3 linked regions of the Saccharomyces cerevisiae S288C genome follow. The gene in region 1 interacts genetically with each later gene. Each region holds a gene or a part of one and is shown in the gene's direction. Other genes may lie near its edges.

Region 1 (4,180 bases):
ACGTTAGTTCCTGGATGACTGTACCAGGGTGTTTATAGAAGAGGAAAAATAGAGTTTCATCTTGAAAAAGGGCAACACGCTGTTGGTCATTTTGGATGGAATTGAAGCATGGTGGAGTTACAGTGGATTGTAATACGCCCGGAATATTGGTGAATGATTCTGGTGTGAAAAATCGGGGCTCCACTTCGCTTCTGGATGTTTCTGCCCACGGTGATTGAAAAGTATCGAGGACTCTGTGATCTTGTGAATCTCTTGGAATACCCAACGAATATAGCATCGACGATAAGTCCGCTCCTAAGGTCATGGAATGGTCATATGTACTTGAAAGTTCTTTGTCCTCTAGCTTAAGGAGCGGTACTAGCGCTTTTAAACCAAATTTTTCCATTATGTAGGGAATAGTATATTTTGATTCTCTTCTCTTCCTGTTTTTCCTTGTGGTTTTTGCATATCTAGTTTAAAAAATGCCTGTTTTGCTATTATCTTATTAATGTTCGCCTCGCTTTTTCGCAGTTATAAAAAAATACTCACATAATAATATACTTCATAACAAAAGAGCTCACTCTTTATAAATCATACACAAGACTCGTAGAAAGGAACTATTAGAAAATAAAGAAATACTTTGTTATATAAAGATGGAAGCAAGACGGTATGGACCGAATATCATTGTTACAGGAACACCAGGATGTGGCAAGTCGTCTACGTGTGAGTTTTTAAAAAATAAACTGAAGGATTACAAATACTATAACATTTCGGATTTCGCCAAAGATAACGACTGTTTCGAAGGATATGATGAGGGCCGTAAATCGCACATTGTCGATGAAGACAAACTGCTGGACATGCTAGAGCCTCTTTTGAGACAGGGAAATAGTATTGTCGATTGGCATGTCAATGATGTGTTCCCAGAGAGGCTGATTGACTTGGTGGTGGTGTTGAGATGCGATAACTCTAACTTGTATTCAAGATTGCATGCAAGAGGCTATCATGACTCTAAGATCGAGGAAAACCTCGATGCCGAGATTATGGGTGTCGTCAAACAGGATGCCGTGGAATCATACGAACCGCACATTGTGGTAGAGCTACAAAGCGATACGAAAGAAGATATGGTATCTAACGTATCCCGTATTGTTGCTTGGGAAAAGATGTGGTTAGAACAACATCCAGATGGAGTCACAAATGAATATCAAGGGCCTCGTAGCGATGACGAAGACGATGAAGACAGTGAGTAGGCGTTCCATAACTTTGTGTATCTACATATATACATATATAATTGTAAATTAGTAACAGTAGTAATAGTAGTGCCTATTATAAAGGGTTTTCTTTAAGTAATGTCATGTACTTGTTTAATGTGACTTTGGTAATATATTTTCATTCTCCGATGCCGATGCCCAGTGGAAAAGTTTAAAGTGAAAAATTTTTCAACACATACAAGTTTAATAAGTTGGTTTTGATGCAAATAGCATTACTAAAGAAGAGCGCTAGGATAATTGTGCATTGCTATTGTGATTTTTGATACAGAAATTATGCACTATGTGGTACTAGAGCTGCAAGTTGCGCATTTGCCAGATACCCCCAAGGATCAATGTCGCATTGCGAATATAGCATTTCAAATTGTGAATGCTGAAACATTAGTATGCCATTATGGGACCAATTCTTTACCGAGCATTGAAGTAAACGGGACGACAAAGAGTTTGGAGAGTGCAATGGTGCAATTGGACAAGGATATTCATGACGTTATTGGTAACGACGACTTTGTTCTTGTTTCCCTGTATTCAACATGGCATATCCGTGTTACCTTACCACGTCAAGCGAGAGATGATGGGTTTATTCTTACTTCTTATTTACAACATCCGAAAGTATTTGACTTATGGAAGGAATTCGATAGATGGTGTGTCAACCATCCGGAGATTTTGGGACAAAAGAAAGCAATCTCCAACAACAATTGTAATACTAAAAGTATTAGTATTAATGCAGCCAAAAATACGAAGGATTTGGACGAAATAGTTAGAATATTGGAAGTTTCAATCCCAACTGAAGAGGCAGGCTCTGTTCCAGAGATATACTCTCTTTTAAAAAGGACAACGGATATATTAATACAATTGCACAAAAAGTGTACTTCCCCTGAAGATATGGAATCTGTCTTAACAAAACCATATGACTCACACACCGATATTAGAGCGTTTTTGCAAGAGAAATCTAAGATTTTGTACATGAACAATTTACCGCCCGACACAACTCAAAGTGAGTTGGAATCATGGTTTACCCAATATGGTGTTAGACCAGTTGGGTTTTGGACTGTCAAAAACATCGTAGAAGATACGTCTAACGTTAATAATAACTGGAGTCTAAATAACAGTCCCTATGTGGAAGATCAAGATAGTATCTCAGGATTTGTTGTCTTCCAAACACATGAAGAAGCAACTGAAGTACTAGCGTTGAATGGGAGATCAATCCTATCTAATCTGGCAAACACTAAGCAACCAAGGGTGGTGGAACATGTCCTTGAGCTTCAACCTTCTTCCACCGGAGTACTCGATAAGGCTCAAGAAATTTTATCGCCTTTCCCTCAAAGTAAAAACAAACCAAGACCAGGTGACTGGAATTGCCCATCTTGTGGTTTTTCAAACTTTCAAAGACGTACTGCATGTTTTAGATGTTCTTTTCCGGCACCATCAAATAGTCAAATACATACTGCGAACTCAAACAATAATGTTAACAGTAGTAGAAATAATTTAAACAATCGCGTGAACTCGGGATCTTCAAGCAATATTAGTAACACTGCAGCGAATCACCCCTATGGTGCCCCTGAGTTCAACATGATTGCTAACAACACGCCAGCAGCTTTAACATACAATAGAGCTCATTTTCCTGCAATTACGCCATTGTCGCGACAAAATTCATTGAACATGGCACCATCGAACAGTGGGTCGCCGATAATTATAGCGGATCATTTTTCGGGAAATAATAATATAGCCCCAAATTATCGTTATAATAATAATATTAACAATAACAACAATAATATTAACAATATGACCAATAATAGATATAACATTAATAACAACATCAACGGTAATGGGAATGGTAATGGGAACAACAGTAATAACAATAACAATCATAATAACAATCATAATAACAATCATCATAATGGTAGTATCAATAGTAATAGTAATACCAATAATAATAATAATAATAACAATGGTAACAATAGTAATAATTGTAATTCCAATATCGGTATGGGAGGATGTGGCTCCAACATGCCATTTAGAGCAGGAGATTGGAAGTGTTCCACGTGCACGTATCATAACTTTGCTAAAAACGTAGTGTGCTTACGCTGTGGTGGTCCAAAATCAATAAGCGGCGATGCAAGTGAAACCAATCATTACATAGATTCATCAACATTTGGACCAGCGTCGCGTACTCCCAGTAATAACAATATTTCTGTTAATACTAATGGTGGTAGCAATGCTGGTCGCACCGATGGGAACGATAACAAAGGTCGTGATATTAGTTTGATGGAATTTATGTCACCACCGTTATCGATGGCAACAAAGTCAATGAAGGAGGGAGATGGGAATGGTAGCTCGTTTAACGAGTTCAAAAGTGACAAAGCTAACGTTAATTTTTCCAATGTTGGTGATAATAGCGCTTTCGGTAATGGTTTTAATAGTTCAATACGTTGGTAGTTAGGAACAGGCGAGGTCAATAAATTTCACACAACCACATTGTATTTTTTATTTTTACACTTTTATATATTTATATACTTTTTCTACCCTTACTTTTTTCTTCAGGTCTAACTGATTGCTGAAGAACGTAATTGTGCGCATATATATGATATTTGATAGAATGTAGGACGTTGATTTTCAAAGTATTCCAGAAAATTTGAGTCATGCTTACTTAGTTTAATTAAGTACTCCTATTTTATTTCATCAGACTTCAAGACGGTTCTTAAGCAATCACCGTTATGCAAATCTTCAAAGGCTTGATTGATTTCTTTGAATGGTCTCCTGTGAGTGATAAATTCTTCGACTTTTAAGGCACCTTTTTGATAGTCTTTAATTAAACCGCCCATTTCAGATCTACCTTTGATGCCACCAAAAGCAGAGCCTTTCCACACTCTACCAGTGACCAGCTGGAACGGCCTTGTAGAAATTTCTTCACCAGCGGCAGCCACACCAATGATAAT
Region 2 (3,377 bases), on another chromosome or scaffold:
CGATGCTGACGCCATAGACCATGACGATAGACCAATCTACAAGAGGTTCTTTTCCAGCTAATCTTCCGGTTTTTAGTAACTGGAAAAAAATACATGAACTTAATTATTTATTATATACAATATTTACTTTTTTACGCCTTAATCCTTAACGGACTATTTGTTATGCCTTATAGAACTAGAAATTATATGATAAACATGAGCTACACGAGTTGACAGGGTGAACAGATTACTATAGCATCTTTCTCTCATGAATAATTTTTAAAATGTATAAATTTTGTAACGTTCCGAAGGGTGGAGTGAAATTCCATTCAAGAAACCAAGCATTGAGACAGAACAGTACAGAGTTCAGTTGTTGCGGACCGAGAATTGTAACAAGTAGCCCCAGAAACATTCATATGACGTCTGTTTCAAATTAAGCTTAGTAAAAGTACACATTTACCATAAAAAAATAGTACCAAGTCGGTGGCCTGATATCCTTATTTTCCTTCTGCCAATTGGGCAAGTTGGTACTAATATTTTAGGTGACACTGCCACTTTATTGTTATGGATTGAAATTTCTTAAATGTTCTCACAATCGGCCATAACGCTATTTCTCCGACGTAACCTCCTGTCATAGTGTGCCGTGCCTGAATAACTTAAAAAATTAAAGTTTTCAATGTGCCCAAAAAAATTCACAAATAGTACGCGCTCGTTAAACACCCTGTGACGCTGGGCCAGGCACTATTTAGCATTACTTCGAAAAGACGCAAGTATAAAGAGTGAGATCTCACGTACTACAACAAGAACATAGAGAAGCATTCTAATAAGCATATAAACAAGGCTTCTAGAGAAAAATGGGCGTATTAGAAAATATAGTACCTGGTGAGCTTTATGATGCGAACTATGATCCAGATCTTTTGAAAATTAGAAAAGAGACTAAAATAAAATTGCACGAATACAACACCCTTAGCCCCGCTGATGAGAATAAAAAGAGCCAGGTAATAAGAGAATTACTTGGTAGTTGCACTGATAACTTTATAATTGAACCGCCGTTTTACTGTGATTACGGAAGTAACATCTATATCGGAGACAACTTTTACGCCAATCACAATCTTGTTATATTGGATGGGGCCAAGGTAGTCATCGGTGACAACGTATTTATCGCCCCTAATGTTGGTATTTATACGGCAGGTCATCCAATTGACGTGGAAAGACGGCTTCAAGGATTAGAATATGCCATGCCTGTGACCATTGGAGACAATGTATGGATTGGAGGTGGAGTGTCAATAATTCCTGGAGTAAATATAGGTAAAAACTCCGTGATTGCCGCCGGTAGTGTTGTGATTCGTGACATACCAGAAAATGTAGTGGCAGCAGGTAATCCTTGTAAGGTGATAAGAAAGATCACTGAAAAAGATAGTACAACTACAAACTATCGAAAATGATGGATCCACTTTCTGGAGGAATTATCGAAAGCAAGTGTTGTCTTCTATGATTATGTACCGTATTTTCTTATAAGAATAAATAAAAAGCTAGTTCAGTTTTAGTCGACTAAATACGCAGAGAGATTATTAATTATTGGTATATGTTCTGGTTTAAGTTGCTCATTCTCAACTCGACTGTGTATAGTAGCTTCTTTCTGGTATAATCTATCTTCGAGGAGAAAATTATAGTTTACAACTTATGTAAAACTGCTCAAGTTCCAACCGTATAGAAAACGCGTGGCTGGTAGCTTTATGTTCGGATTTGAGAAATTTTCGGGGAAATAAGTACCGTTCTAATTTTTCAGCGCAAATTAACATGCGGAGAAACTTTAAACTGAAAATATGGCCACCTGCATGCGTCCATATGAAAGGGTCATCAAATAGCCTCGAACAAAACAAGTAACATTTTCGATGGAGTTAGAAAGGGATGATCCTATACGCACAGATTTCCTAGGTATTTAACCTGACCTAATATTAACAAAAGTCCAAGTGACGGCTTCTCCATCAAACAAGATAAATTACCAAACACAATGGTCGAATCTAAGAATACTGAATTATCGCAAGGAACATGGCTCAATAAGCCAAAATCTGTTTTTCAAGAGGCAGGAAAAGTCACTCTGGAAACAGATGAAAAAACTGACTTTTGGCGTGAAACATTTTACGGATTTACCCGTGATAGCGGTCATTTTTTGGGAGTAGAGACAGGTAGTGCTTTTACTGCACAAGTCCGTGTTCAGGGAAGCTACGAGAGTCTTTATGATCAGGCTGGTATCATGGTTCGTATAGATGATGGACATTGGCTCAAAGCTGGCATAGAAATTTCTGATGGCCACGCAATGCTAAGCAGTGTTTTGACAAATGGAAAATCAGATTGGTCAACTGCTGTTTATGGCGGAAATGCTCGCGATTTCTGGCTTCGTGTTACTGTTGAAAAGGGCGTTTTGAGGATTCAGGTGTCCTCTGATAAAAAAACATGGCCGTTAGTACGTTTGGCTCCATTTCCAACTTCTGACCATTACCTTGTTGGACCAATGGCTTGCACACCTGAGCGTGGCGGATTGAAAGTTACTTTCTCGGAATGGAGTCTCACAGCTCCTTTAGGAAAAGCTTTACATGATTTGAGTTAGTTCACCTATATATCAATATATAAAGAGGGGTTTGCTTTTGTTAAGAACAAGGCCTGCACCTCACTAAGATCTGTTGATTTGGCACTATGCTTTTTAAAATTTTGTTTATACTCAATTTCGTCAAGATTTTTTTTACTAGTACAATCCATACAGTTAACAAAATACTGGGCAATAAGGCGTGCATACTACGAAATTTTTAGTTTTGTTATAATAAACGACTTTTAGCTAGTGTTTTAAGATAAAGTGACGAAAGTTAGGGTGAGAATAGTCGAATGTATTTACTAATTATTGAATTCGTGGTAATTAGTACTTATGATGATGGGGTTTAAAGGGCTAAATTTAGACAATAGAAACAGTAATAATGATGTTTTCTATTTTTCTGCTGTACGTTGCTTTTTATTTTATATTTCTTCGGAAAAAGGTTCAGTGAATTTTCTGTCTTCTATATACATATATAAATTGCAATTGAAAATAGCGTACAGCGTAAGTTAAGTATCCAATGCTCACATATGAAAAGCAAAAGTAAAAAGAAATATACAAGTTTATTATTCATAAATATCGGCATAACTATTTGTTTCGAAAGATCAGTACGTTTATGTTAAATGTGCTCGTTACTTCAACAAGTAAAGTCTTCCTTCCCATGGCTGCAAGGTGCGGGAATCACCATTTGAGTTTGCATAGTTGCCAAAAAACATGGTGTAGGAGGCCTCATTATCAGGAACTGAAAAGTCCGTATTATCGCTACTGAAATTGAAAACAGCAAACATTTTTTTGTTATCTGTGTCCT
Region 3 (4,117 bases), on another chromosome or scaffold:
ATATAAAATCTACGGTTACCTTGGCTGCTGAGGAAGCTGTCGTCTTCAGAACCCCTCCTTTTCAGGGTATAATCCTTCATTCCGTTTTTGAAGTCAGAAACTTTATTGAAAACACTCATAGTTCTGGTTCTATTTAGTCTATGAATTTTTGACTGTTTTCTTGGATCTGTTATTGGTCCATAATAGACCTCTGCGTTGGAAAACGGGTCAAAATACTCATGCATAGAGGACAACCGCCGGTGATGTCTTCTACCACCTTGTTGCCCCTCTTCTTTCAACGGCCGCTGCTCTGAACCACTTGAAAGTGGCTTTATGTTATCTTCACCATCATTACCTTCGGATGGAGGATTTATTTCCGTTACTTTTGGTAAAAAATCTACCATTATTTGAGTATATGCAGGTCTCCTTATATACCAAATGTCTGATCCGAACCTGCGTCAAATATATTTGCAAAGGAAAAATATAAATAAATAAATAAAATTGAGAAATAAAGAATATTAGTTTTAATGGAAAACAGTTCCTACAAGCGCTATAACATATGAAATATACATTAGTCGAATATTAACTTTGGGAGGTAATTACAATTCCTATCCGCTTTATATAATTTAGTGGAACTGGCACGCCGCTCGGAAAAATTGGACTTCAAATTACCCCGCGCGGAGATTTGCATTATAAACTCTATAAAGATGCGTGAATTTCTACTCATTTATTACTAATTATTTGAATGTTCTTTTGCGAACTCATTTATCTTGCTCATTACTCTATAAATATCTATGCCATGTGGTAGGAAAAAAATGCAGACCTTTCTTAATTCAACTTTTTTTCTTTCAAATCGATGGGGTCCCCATTGGTTTCCTCGTCATAATCACCTTCCTCTAATCTGTACTCTTTGTTTAAAAAGGATTTGTGAAACGAAAATTTTAATAAAATCCATGCCATCCGTATAGGTCCAAACTCTGGCCATAAACAATCCAGCAATTCGATGCGTACGCCCTTACTCGATGCCTGCCATATCAAAAAGTCACTTAATCTGGAAACGCCACTTGTCCTAATCAATAAATCTAAAGGGGGTACCCCCGCCGTGTAGAGATGCGATTCTAACGTGCTTTCGTCTATAGCGGCGCCCTTCTTATGTTGAACAATTGTTTCTTTCATGGCATGCAAGATTTCTTCCCTGCCTGTATATGGAAAGCAGATATTTAACGTGGCCCTTTTGTTGTTCTTTGTAGTTTCCACAGCAACCCGAACATCTTCTAATAGAGACTTATCCAACAAAGAGAGATCGCCGATAATTTTAATGCGTACCCCATACTTACAGGCCAGCTCTCCACGTTCTGTGATTTGTCGTATCCTTTCGCGCGCTAAAGTCATCAGTGATTCAACTTCCCGTGAGCTCCTCTTGAAATTTTCAATTGAAAAGGCAAACACGGTAGCCGTATCGACTCCTGCTTCATAACACAGTTCTAAGATTCTACTCATACTAACAAATCCTGCCTCGTGGCCCTCCTTTACGTCCATCTCTTTCTTTCTAGCGAATCTCCTGTTCCCATCCATGATGAACCCAACATGTCTAGGTACACAGTTAGATGCACGCAATGTGCGCGAAAAGATGTTTTTTGTCCACTTTAACACAAATGAATGACCAGGTATACCACTATCCGTTTCCATACCGTCTTTTACCTGTGTTTACCCTATTTTTACTGCTTAAGTTCTATTGAAACCTGTCATTATTACGAAAATTTTTTTTTTTTTCATTCTAAGCATTTTGTTGGCATCTTCGGAAAAAGCCCGAGCGAGGGTAACAGGGTTAGGGGATTAGAAGATTAAAGTAAGACACATTATAATCTATAGAGATTTTCTACAACACAAGAAGTGTGCCATTCAGTCCGAATTGAGTACAGTGGGACGATGTTTCAAAGGTCTGGCGCTGCTCATCACATCAAATTGATTTCATCTCGAAGATGCCGCTTTAAATCCTCCTTTGCAGTTGCTTTAAACGCTGCCAGTAAGTTGGTAACTCCCAAGATTCTTTGGAATAATCCCATATCATTAGTCTCGAAGGAGATGAACACATTGGCCAAAAATATAGTTGCCCTCATCGGGTCTGGCCATCCGGTGCTAAACAAGGTTACTAGTTACTATTTTGAAACAGAAGGCAAAAAAGTACGTCCCTTGTTAGTGTTGTTGTTGTCAAGAGCACTTTCTGAAATTCCCATGACAGAAAGAAATCACTTGAAAATTGACAAGTCGGATGTTCCTGAGGACCCAATTTACTCTAAACCTAGTCAAAATCAACTATTTCAACGTCCTGCAAGTAGCATATCCCCACTACATATTCTTCACGGTATTAAACCACTAAATCCCTTGACAAAAGGTCCTGAGCCTTTGCCAGAAGAAACTTTTGACAAACAAAGAGGGATTTTACCCAAACAGAGAAGATTAGCAGAGATTGTAGAGATGATACACACTGCGTCTTTACTTCATGATGACGTTATTGATCATTCTGATACAAGAAGAGGAAGGCCAAGCGGAAATGCTGCCTTTACCAACAAGATGGCCGTTTTGGCGGGTGATTTTCTCTTAGGGAGAGCAACAGTGTCAATTTCAAGATTACACAACCCCGAAGTCGTAGAACTAATGTCTAATAGTATTGCGAATCTTGTCGAAGGTGAGTTCATGCAACTGAAAAATACTTCCATTGACGCGGATATCGATACCATCGAAAATGGCCATAAGCTACTTCCGGTTCCTTCTAAAAAGCTTGAAGTTAAAGAGCACGACTTTCGTGTTCCAAGCCGCCAACAGGGGCTGCAATTATCTCATGATCAGATTATAGAAACTGCATTTGAATACTACATACACAAGACCTATCTGAAGACTGCTGCTTTGATATCAAAATCTTGCAGATGTGCTGCTATATTATCTGGGGCATCACCTGCCGTTATCGACGAATGCTATGATTTCGGTAGAAATCTAGGTATATGTTTCCAACTCGTAGATGATATGCTTGATTTTACTGTGTCTGGAAAAGATTTAGGGAAGCCATCCGGCGCGGATCTAAAATTAGGTATTGCTACTGCTCCAGTCTTGTTTGCATGGAAAGAAGACCCATCTTTAGGTCCACTAATTTCACGCAATTTTTCAGAGAGGGGTGATGTTGAAAAAACTATTGATTCTGTGAGACTCCATAATGGTATAGCGAAGACGAAAATACTAGCGGAGGAATATAGGGACAAGGCATTACAAAATCTACGGGATTCTCTTCCTGAATCTGATGCTCGTTCTGCCCTAGAGTTTTTAACTAATAGTATACTAACAAGAAGAAAGTAAACCTTGAAATTTCAAATAAAGGGTGAAGAATAAAGAGAAAATGAAGAAGGTCATAGTGTCGCATTATTCTATATTCTATATGTAAATAGTTTTTATATGTTTTTAGTAAAAGAAGAAATATACAAGCATTAAGGATCAGGCTGGTGGTAAAAAAGCTGCAAATAGGATAGTCTGTAAAGGTATCCAGAATGCCAACCAGTATATGTAAAACTTGACTATCTTATCGTCACCTTTCGGATTTTCCATTTTTTTTGGATCAGAAGTTTTAACCAATCTATCAGCCAAATACCAAAGGTGCAAGGGTAAAAAGGAGGCTATACGATTCAGAATTTGGACATGGGCAAAAAAGCATACTATGACGACCAGTGCTCTGGTGATCCATACGAGAGCCTTCAAGTTATAGGAGGGATAAATTTTGCTGAAATATATGGAGGAATAGATTAAAATAATAATATTTGGGACAGCAAACAAAAAGTTTGGGATGTTGTTTGGGGTCCAGTATTTCAATAACCCAACTCCCCAATAATGACTCTGAATGTAGGAATATAAAGAAGTTTTCGTGATAAAAATGCTTGAAAACAATTGAGATTTACACCATTCACCCCTTTGAGGACAAAATGTCTTATATGGTAGGTAATATTGTTGATATAGTAGAGCAGAAAACATTAATGATCCTGATAATAGTGGGAAACATATTGCTTTTACAAACTTCCTGTTCTTTGTTAGTTCAATAAGGTCAAAAATAAAGTAAATCCCTAACAAAACACAGTTTGAACGATTCAAGGAT

What was found. A genetic interaction does not mean that the proteins touch.
Region 2: mutations in NRP1 (region 1) and REE1 together harm fitness more than expected from each alone (negative genetic interaction), as found in Saccharomyces cerevisiae (2 studies listed by BioGRID).
Region 3: of NRP1 (region 1) and COQ1, a mutation in one rescues a mutant of the other (synthetic rescue), as found in Saccharomyces cerevisiae (one study listed by BioGRID).

Annotation. Positions count from the first base shown.
Region 1 is NC_001136.10:160,495-164,674, reverse strand, and holds NRP1 (Nrp1p), read left to right. Parts: upstream 1-1,520; coding exon 1,521-3,680; downstream 3,681-4,180. Other genes in the region: CCR4-NOT core subunit CDC36, read right to left, coding at 1-385; FAP7 (nucleoside-triphosphatase), read left to right, coding at 633-1,226; SFA1 (bifunctional alcohol dehydrogenase/S-(hydroxymethyl)glutathione dehydrogenase), read right to left, coding at 3,911-4,180. UniProt on the Saccharomyces cerevisiae protein: May play a role in chromatin organization.
Region 2 is NC_001142.9:21,140-24,516, forward strand, and holds REE1 (Ree1p), read left to right. Parts: upstream 1-1,993; coding exon 1,994-2,590; downstream 2,591-3,377. Other genes in the region: hexose transporter HXT9, read left to right, coding at 1-61; YJL218W (acetyltransferase), read left to right, coding at 834-1,424; oligo-1,6-glucosidase IMA5, read right to left, coding at 3,202-3,377. UniProt on the Saccharomyces cerevisiae protein: Functions in the galactose metabolic pathway via the GAL83 protein and that it may control the level of ENO1.
Region 3 is NC_001134.8:240,901-245,017, forward strand, and holds COQ1 (trans-hexaprenyltranstransferase), read left to right. Parts: upstream 1-1,908; coding exon 1,909-3,330; downstream 3,331-4,117. Other genes in the region: alpha,alpha-trehalase NTH2, read right to left, coding at 1-383; RER2 (ditrans,polycis-polyprenyl diphosphate synthase), read right to left, coding at 808-1,668; GPI-anchor transamidase GPI18, read right to left, coding at 3,466-4,117. UniProt on the Saccharomyces cerevisiae protein: Assembly of polyisoprenoid side chains.